Linked DNA regions of Coturnix japonica. The protein of the gene in region 1 binds, or shares a complex with, the protein of each later gene. Links are inferred from orthologs where the notes say so. Each region holds a gene or a part of one and is shown in the gene's direction. Other genes may lie near its edges.

Evidence for each region.
Region 2: TAF1C (region 1) and POLR2H share a complex: the UniProt entries of both Homo sapiens proteins name them as parts of the pol I pre-initiation complex. The link is inferred for Coturnix japonica from reciprocal best matches to the Homo sapiens genes TAF1C and POLR2H.

What each region holds. Positions count from the first base shown.
Region 1 is NC_029547.1:8,327,181-8,331,419, forward strand, and holds the start of TAF1C (TATA box-binding protein-associated factor RNA polymerase I subunit C), read left to right. Parts: upstream 1-1,389; 5' UTR 1,390-1,481; coding exon 1,482-1,613; intron 1,614-1,987; coding exon 1,988-2,081; intron 2,082-2,240; coding exon 2,241-2,347; intron 2,348-2,433; coding exon 2,434-2,529; intron 2,530-2,612; coding exon 2,613-2,686; intron 2,687-2,754; coding exon 2,755-3,002; intron 3,003-3,079; coding exon 3,080-3,190; intron 3,191-3,277; coding exon 3,278-3,401; intron 3,402-3,481; coding exon 3,482-3,553; intron 3,554-3,642; coding exon 3,643-3,778; intron 3,779-3,866; coding exon 3,867-3,995; intron 3,996-4,098; coding exon 4,099-4,239. Other genes in the region: TMEM8B (transmembrane protein 8B), read right to left, coding at 1,054-1,234. UniProt on the Homo sapiens protein: Component of the transcription factor SL1/TIF-IB complex, which is involved in the assembly of the PIC (pre-initiation complex) during RNA polymerase I-dependent transcription.
Region 2 is NC_029524.1:13,963,200-13,966,665, reverse strand, and holds POLR2H (DNA-directed RNA polymerases I, II, and III subunit RPABC3), read left to right. Parts: upstream 1-1,562; 5' UTR 1,563-1,626; coding exon 1,627-1,699; intron 1,700-1,808; coding exon 1,809-1,892; intron 1,893-1,969; coding exon 1,970-2,063; intron 2,064-2,188; coding exon 2,189-2,272; intron 2,273-2,388; coding exon 2,389-2,506; 3' UTR 2,507-2,907; downstream 2,908-3,466. UniProt on the Homo sapiens protein: DNA-dependent RNA polymerase catalyzes the transcription of DNA into RNA using the four ribonucleoside triphosphates as substrates.

The sequences.
Region 1 (4,239 bases):
ACACTTCCTGGAGCCCACTCATCTGAGGTAAAGTGAGGGCACACAGGTGCACAGGGAGAGTCAGGCTGGAGCCCTGCGGCAGTGAGGCCACAGCACAGGCAGAAAAGCAGGAAGATGGAACAGAATTTCCTATCTATGAAAGAGAGAAAGGAGAAAAGCAAGAGCGCCTCTGCCCCAGGCCAGAGGCCGAAGAGAGGCGACCTCCTCTCCCAGAAGGGTCAGTACCACGGACAGCTCACCTGATGTCGGGCTCAGGACCACGGACAGCTCCCCCAGCCGCCCCATAGGGCCCCATAGCGCTTCTACTCCACAGCTCGGCCCCCTTCCTCCGTGATCCCCCATACACAACACCGCATACCCCTCCGCAGCCCCCAAATGAAGGCAGCTCCAGAGCCCGACAGCACACTCATTTCATCACGTATTCACTCCAGTGTCCCCCCACTCATCCTCACTGCACACACATCCCCCGCACTGCATGCATCCCTGCTGCCCCACTTCACAGCCCTCTGTCCAGGTGACACGCTGCAATTGCAGATCCCCGTAACCCCTGACCATGAGTCTGACCCCTCTCTCTGGGTGTCCCTGTGCACTTACACCACCTGTGTCCCTCCAGCACGCACACCTCTGAGCCCTCCCTATGTACCACATTGCACGCGTGCCCCACAGCCTGCTTATTGTCAAGCATAACCACCGAACACACATCTCCATGTCCCATTATGCCAACACCCCACTGCCATCTCCCATCACACATGAATATGCCCCATTGTGCTCACACGTCCTGCCCCACTGCCCACGCACCCTATACTCAGTTGCATGGTGTAATGTGGGGTACCCCACACATCAACGTGCCCTGCTGCACACTGACCCCACATCTCGCTGCACACACATCCCGCACCCCATCACACACACTGTCATCCCACGGCGGGCAGATGCTGCGGACGGTCTGCGCTCCATCCTCACCCCATTAATACAAGCACACACCTCCCCCCTTCCTCACCCCCATCCCCCACGCAGCGCTCAGCTCCCCGACCCCCTCGGCCCCTCGACACTCACCGGCGGGCGGCGGCGGCCATAGGAGGAGGAGGAGGAGGAGGGGCAGGAGCAGCAGGGGCAGGCGGAGGAGGGGTATCGGTGTGAGCGGCCGCCCCCGCCCGCCGCCCCGCCGCCCCATCCCACCGCGCCGGCTGCCGAGGGGCGCGCGGCTCCAGCAGCCCCGCCGCGCAGGGGCGACCATGACGTCATCCGTCCCGCCCCCTTTCTCCCTCCCCAATTTTCCTATTGGCGGTTCTGCTTGTCACTCACAACCGGCGCGGCCCCGCTTTCTGCTCGCCATGATACCTCCCACACGCTAGGGGGCGCTGTCGCACTCTAGGCCTCGCCCTTCCCGGTCATCCAACTTCCTACCGCGTCGGGACCGCGTGCGCAGCACTTCCGGTCCGGATCCGGTACCGGGCTCACCATTACCGCCCCCGGTACCGCCCATGGAGTTCCCGGGCGTGCTCTTCCCTTCTTACTTCGGATCCGGCCCCACCAGGGACGAGGGGCGTCCGGCTCCGGCCGCTGGATGGGGGGAGCGGGAAGAGGTGCTGCAGGCCGGGCCTGGACGGCGGCAGGTGAGGAGTAACGGGGGAACGGGATGGGGGAGGCCTGGGGGGCAATGAGTGAGGGGGCAGTGAGGGTATTGAGGGCACTGAGGGGGCTCTGAGGGCACTGAGGGGGCTCTGAGGGCACTGAGGGGGCTCTGAGGAGGCTCTGTGGGCACTGAGGGGGCTCTGTGGGCACTGAGGGGGCTCTGAGGGCACTGAGGGGGCTCTGAGGGTACTGAGGTGGCTCTGAGGGCACTGAGGGGGCTCTGTGGGCACTGAGGGGGCTCTGTGGGCACTGAGGGGGCTCTGTGGGCACTGAGGGGGCTCTGAGGGTACTGAGGGGGCTCTGAGGGTACTGAGGGGGCACTGACCCTCACCTCCATTCCCCGCTGTCCCTGCAGGTGCTGCCGCCGTTCGTGCCCCTCCGCAGCCACGAGGGGGAGAGCTGGACGCCGGCTGAGCCCGCGGCGGTGCCGCTGCTGCCGCCCAACGTGGGTGAGGATTGAGGGGGCACAGGGGGGGCTGAGAATGGGGCTGCCACCTGGTGCTGGGACGCACTCGGCAGCCCCCCCCCCCCCCCCCCCCCCCCCCCCCCCCCCCCCCCCCCCCCCCCCCCCCCCCCCCCCCCCCCCGCCGCCCCCTGCCCCCTCACAGGCTGCTCGGTCCCCAGTGTGACCGCTCAGGATATTCTCTACCACGGTGTCCTGCATAGAAAGCTGCAGACTGGGAAGTCTGGGGCTGCGCTGGACTTTGCCAAGCAGGTACAGGGCTTGGGTGCTGCTGAGGAGACAGGGCTGAGCTCCACCATGACATCACTGCACAGCCCCACACTGCTGTCCCCACGCAGCTAGGGCACTTCTTTGTGGATCATCCTGAGGACGCCTTCAGCTCCCTGGGGCAGCTGCTGCACAACAACTTCCACCTGGGAGACTACAGCCTCGGGGTCAGTGTCCTTGGTGATGCTGAGGGGGGCACTGGTGTACCCCCTCCTTTCTGTTCATAGTGGCACTTCTCTCCTCCCTGCAGAAAGGCAGTGCCAAGGACACAACCATCCGTATGACATCCATGGTGAAGAAGATCAACAATATGGAAGCCAGGCGGTGAGTGCTGCTGGGTTGGGAGGGCGGTGGGCTCCGACACCTACCTGGCACTGATTGTCCCCTCACAGTGGCTGCCCTCGGCATCCGTATGCCAACCACCTGCGCTTGTTCTCTCACCTGTGCCGGGACTGGCTCTTTGAGGTGCCACTGGGACTGCTGGCCGACTGCGTGCATGAAGAGCTGCTGCTACAGTGGACCAGACTGCTCTTCGATGACAGTTCCACAGGGGGAGCACTAGCCTGGCTGCCCCCTCAGGATGCAAGCAGTGACATGGGATGCCTGGTGTACCCTGGCGGGTTGGCCATGAACCACCTCTGTATCCTTTCCTATGATACTTGGGGGACTCTGGGACAGGGGAGCACTGTGTGGCAGTGCCCTTAGCCTGCACTCCAGATTTCCAGAATGTGGTGCTGGAGGAGCAGCCGCGGGCCCAGGGGTTGCCAGTGCAGTTTGAGCTCAACGGGCGCATCCGGCAAGTAGCTGCTGCCCGGGTGGATGGGCAGGGTGAGTAAGCCCTGGGACATGTGCACTGCATACAGAGATAGTGGCATCCCTGCTCTCTCATCTGCCCTCTCTCCTGTCTCCTACTAGACTTTGTTGGCGTTCGCTCTGACTATTACTGTGGTGTCTGGAGGATGTCAGGCAAGACAGGGGCTGCCCCCAGCTCACTGCAGGTCATCCACACTGATGTGCCAGCTTCCTGCCTCACCGTCAGGTGTGTGGTGGGAATACAGAGCTCTGGGAAGGTCCTCAGCTACAAGCCTTCCAATGTAACGCCATGTCTCTGCCCCACAGCCCACACCTGCCTGGGGAGCTGTCAGTCTGTACGCAGAGTGGAGCTGTCTATCTATGGAACATAGAGACAGGGTGAGTTGGGGCTCTGATCCCCAGTGTTTGGTGCTGCAGGAGGCAGGGGTGCCCCACAGCAAGGAAGAGCTCTGTCCTTTTCCCTACAGGCTGCAGCGGCTCCGCCATGACCCCCAGACCTTGTTTTTCCGGGACCACTCACCCTGGCGCTGGAGTGACTTCACTGCTCACCCGCGGGTGCTGAGCTGTGCTGACCGCACTGGCATCCTGTGCCTGGATACTCGGGTGAGCATGAGAACGGGGTTCAGGGTGGGCTGTGGGGTGACCTATGTCAGCCCCATGGTGCTGACAGCACCCTGTTATGCCACTGCAGGCCCCCACTAGATGCCACTTCAACTTCTTCAAGGTGGGTGAGGAAGCCAAGTGCCAGAAGGGTGAACGCGTGGTACTGCCCATGTACCTGGGTAGGGCTCACCCCTGCCAGTACCTCGTTGCCACCCAGGTGAGTCCTCCATGGCTCAGTGTCCCCAGACCTCCCCACCCACCTCGTGCATCTGGTTTGGATGCAGGTGGGGGGCACCCTGCTGAGTTTTGCCCCCTTTCAGTTTGCCGTGTACTTGCTGGACGAGCGTTTGCCGCTGGTGCCTGTGCTGAAATGGGCACACATGATGAAATTCCCCCCTCTGTTCGCTGATGTTGTGCCGGGAGAGTCTGGAAGGAGTCATAAAGTGCTGCTGGGCACCTCT
Region 2 (3,466 bases), on another chromosome or scaffold:
AAAGCTCATTTTTTCCCCTTCCTTCATCGCCCATCATGTCCTCAGCAGGGAGAGGAAGGGGCTAATCCCTGCCCAGGGCCTTGTCCCTCACTCAGGGTGATGCGGTGCTAATGAGGGGATGATCGGGTGGGCTGTGATGTTGCTCCGTGCCACCTCCATCATCTCCTCCTTACCCACATGGGTAATTGGCAGCCTGGTGACAGACAGACTCATTAACAGCTTAATTTTGGCTCGCTCTCTTCCTGCCCAACCCCAGCCTTAGGGGGGCCGCTCAGTGGGGGGATGTCAGCGCTGCACCCCATAGCACCGCAACATGGGGATGGTGCCACCCCATAGCACCGCAACATGGGGATGGTGCCACCCCATTGCCCGATGCCAGCCAGCTTCTCCCCAGGTCTGTTTGCTCCATAACGGCGGTGCCGCGGCTCCTTTGTGCCCGCAGATAAGAGGGGCCGCGGCCGCCTCTGAAGCACCGCTCCCACCCCCGAGCCGGGCAGGCTTTGGGGAGAGGGCAGGGATTTAGGGTGCAGGATTTGGGGCTGCCCAACCACCCAGGTGCCGCCGTGGCTCTGCCACCTGCTCTGCCTCTGTGTGCAGACCCCATCCCCATCAGCCCTTCACTCCAAAGCCACGGCCCCATCTCCATCACCATCCCCCCCATCAGAGAGCACTGGAGGCTGTGTTGGCCCCCCAATGCTGCCCCACCGGATGGAGGCCTGGCCGCCGTTCAAAGCCGTGCTCATGTTGTATAATTTATCAGTGAAAGATAACAGCCCCACGGCTAAACCTCCCCACCCACACACAGCCCGGCACTGTGAGCAATGGGACTCCCAGCCTGGGGAGAGCCCACATGGAGGGACCCCCGGTGTGTCCTACTGTATGCTGGGATGCTTTGGGGTGCACCAAGGCAGAGCTGTGCCCCCCCCCCCCCCAAAATCCCTTCATATATCCCGGCGCACCGGGGGCTGCAGAGCACCTGGGGACGGTCTGTGGGATCCGTGCAGGTTGGGGGCGGGCTGAGGGCTGGTGCTGTGTGCTCTGAGCGGCACCAGGTGCCGGATGGGCTTGTTTGGCTCCAGATAAGGAGGAGACGGCGGCACCGGGCAGGTGCTATAGTGTGGGGGCTGCCCACCCCAACCTCGGCTCCTCGACCCCGGAGGTGCGGGGCCGCCAACCCGGGTCCCTCCGTGTCCCTCCGTGTCCCTCCGTGTCCCTCTGTACCAGCGCATCCCTCCGCTCACACAGCCCGGCCGCATTGAGCCCTTTGGGGAGGGGGCTGGCGGTAGGAGCTGGGTGTCACCGGGGATGTGACACGGAGGGAAGGTGACGCTGTGGGGTGTGACACGGGTGGGCTGTGGGGTGACGCTGCTGCCCCCCGCCCAGCTCCGAGCTCCGTCCCGCCGTGGATCTGCCCCGACCCACGCGGTTCGATCCGCGGCCGCGCAGCGCCCCCTACCGCCCCCTGCGCTGCAGTGCGCCCCCCCAGCCTGCAGGGGGCGCTGCCGGCGGCGCTAGGACCGCGCGGGCACCTCTGCCCGCCCACCACGAATGAGGTTTCCGGATGTGGAAACACGTCATCACCGTGCGCCGCAGCGGGAGCCGGCGCGGGAGCGAAGGGGCGCCGCCATGGCCGGCATTCTGTTCGAGGACATCTTCGATGTGAAGGACATCGACCCCGAGGGGAAGAAGTTCGACCGTGGTGAGATACGACCCCCCCGCTCCCCGCCCCTTCCTCCCACCCGGGGCTCCGAGGGCCGGGCCGGGTGCGGCGGGCCCTTCCCGTTGACGCCCCGTCCCGGCCCGCTCAGTGTCCCGGCTGCACTGCGAGAGCGAGTCGTTCAAGATGGATCTGATCCTGGACGTCAACATCCAGATCTACCCCGTGGATCTCGGTACGGGACGGGCGGGGAGGGGGGGGGGGGCAGCTCCGGCTGTGCGCTCTGAGCGCTGCTTTGTTATCGCCTCCCAGGGGACAAGTTCCGTCTGGTCATTGCCAGCACCCTGTATGAGGATGGGACGTTGGATGATGGGGAGTACAACCCCACTGATGACCGGCCCTCCAGGTAACGTGGCTCGCAGTGGTGGGAGAGACCCCTCCTACAAGGGGCCTCCTCGCAGAGGATGCTCTGTTAGGGGATGTGGGAAGGATGGTCTGACGCTTCTCTCAGCTCCCCTCATGTCATTGCAGGGCGGACCAGTTTGAGTACGTGATGTATGGCAAGGTGTACAGGATTGAGGGGGATGAGACGTCCACAGAGGCAGCCACACGCCTGTGAGTGGCTGTTGAGAAGGGGACGCGTTGCCTGAGGGTGGTGGGGAGGCAGCGTTATCTTGACTGGGTCTCCTATGGGTTTCCCTGCTCTCACTGCTCCTCTCCTCCTGCCCCAGCTCTGCTTATGTGTCCTATGGGGGGCTGCTCATGCGCCTTCAGGGAGACGCAAACAATCTGCATGGGTTTGAAGTGGACTCCAGAGTTTACCTGCTGATGAAGAAGTTGGCCTTCTAGGAGATGATGCACCTCAGAGGGCTGCCTGCCCCCAGAGACATTCTGTTGGAGAGCAGAAAGGACACCATCACCCCAAATCCTGCCCCAGCACCTTTGCTGCCCAGTCCCTCCAGTGGTGGTGGAGGAGGGGACTTTCCCCCTTTGTCATCCCAGTCTTTTCTGACTGTTTCCCTTCTGTGCAGGGGCTGATGCCTCATTCTCAGTGGAGACCGTGGGTGCTCTGTGGCCCTGCCTGCTGATCTCACCTTCCTGCACTTCAAAAGCAGGCTTAGCCCCAGCTCTAACCAGGGGCCGCTGGACTGGGGCACTCACCTGTCTGTGCTAGGGCTGGGCATCATTTTCTAAGGAGCTGTTCTGAGACAGATGTGGCTTCTTAATTAAACTGCTATGTGTTTTCTAGATGTGGTTGTTGTGGCAAGGTTGGCTTCCCAGAATGCCGGTTGGTAGATGAAGATGGGATGCTCATGGAGGATGTTGTGGTAGCAGACAGCAAAGGTACCACATCAGGGGCACTGGCTTTCAAGCTGCAGCTCCTGGAGGGGCTTGGCCTAGTCTGAGTGATGCTGTGTGACCCCAGAGCTCAGCACAGTGAAATTGGCAGGTGGATACTGGAAGGCAAGGGGCATTATTATCTCACATCCCCAGCTGAGCCCACCTGCCCTGCAGAGATGGCAGCCACCACAGGAGGGAGCTGGACACTGGGAAAATCAGGAGCGTTTGTTCCCCAGCTATTGCCTCCCCCAGAGACTGGTGTATGCTCCTTAGGCCAGTGCTACAGCAGGGGGAACAGGAAGACACAAACAATCCTTTAGAAAAATAGGTCTTTAATTGTAAAGCATTCACAGTCTGATAGGAGCAGGGCATGTGCCTCGTGCTGCACAGGTATGGCTGCTTTTGACCTCTGTGGGCCGTGTGATAGCCAAAGGCTTGTGGAAAAGGAGCCAACCCTTTCCCCGTGGC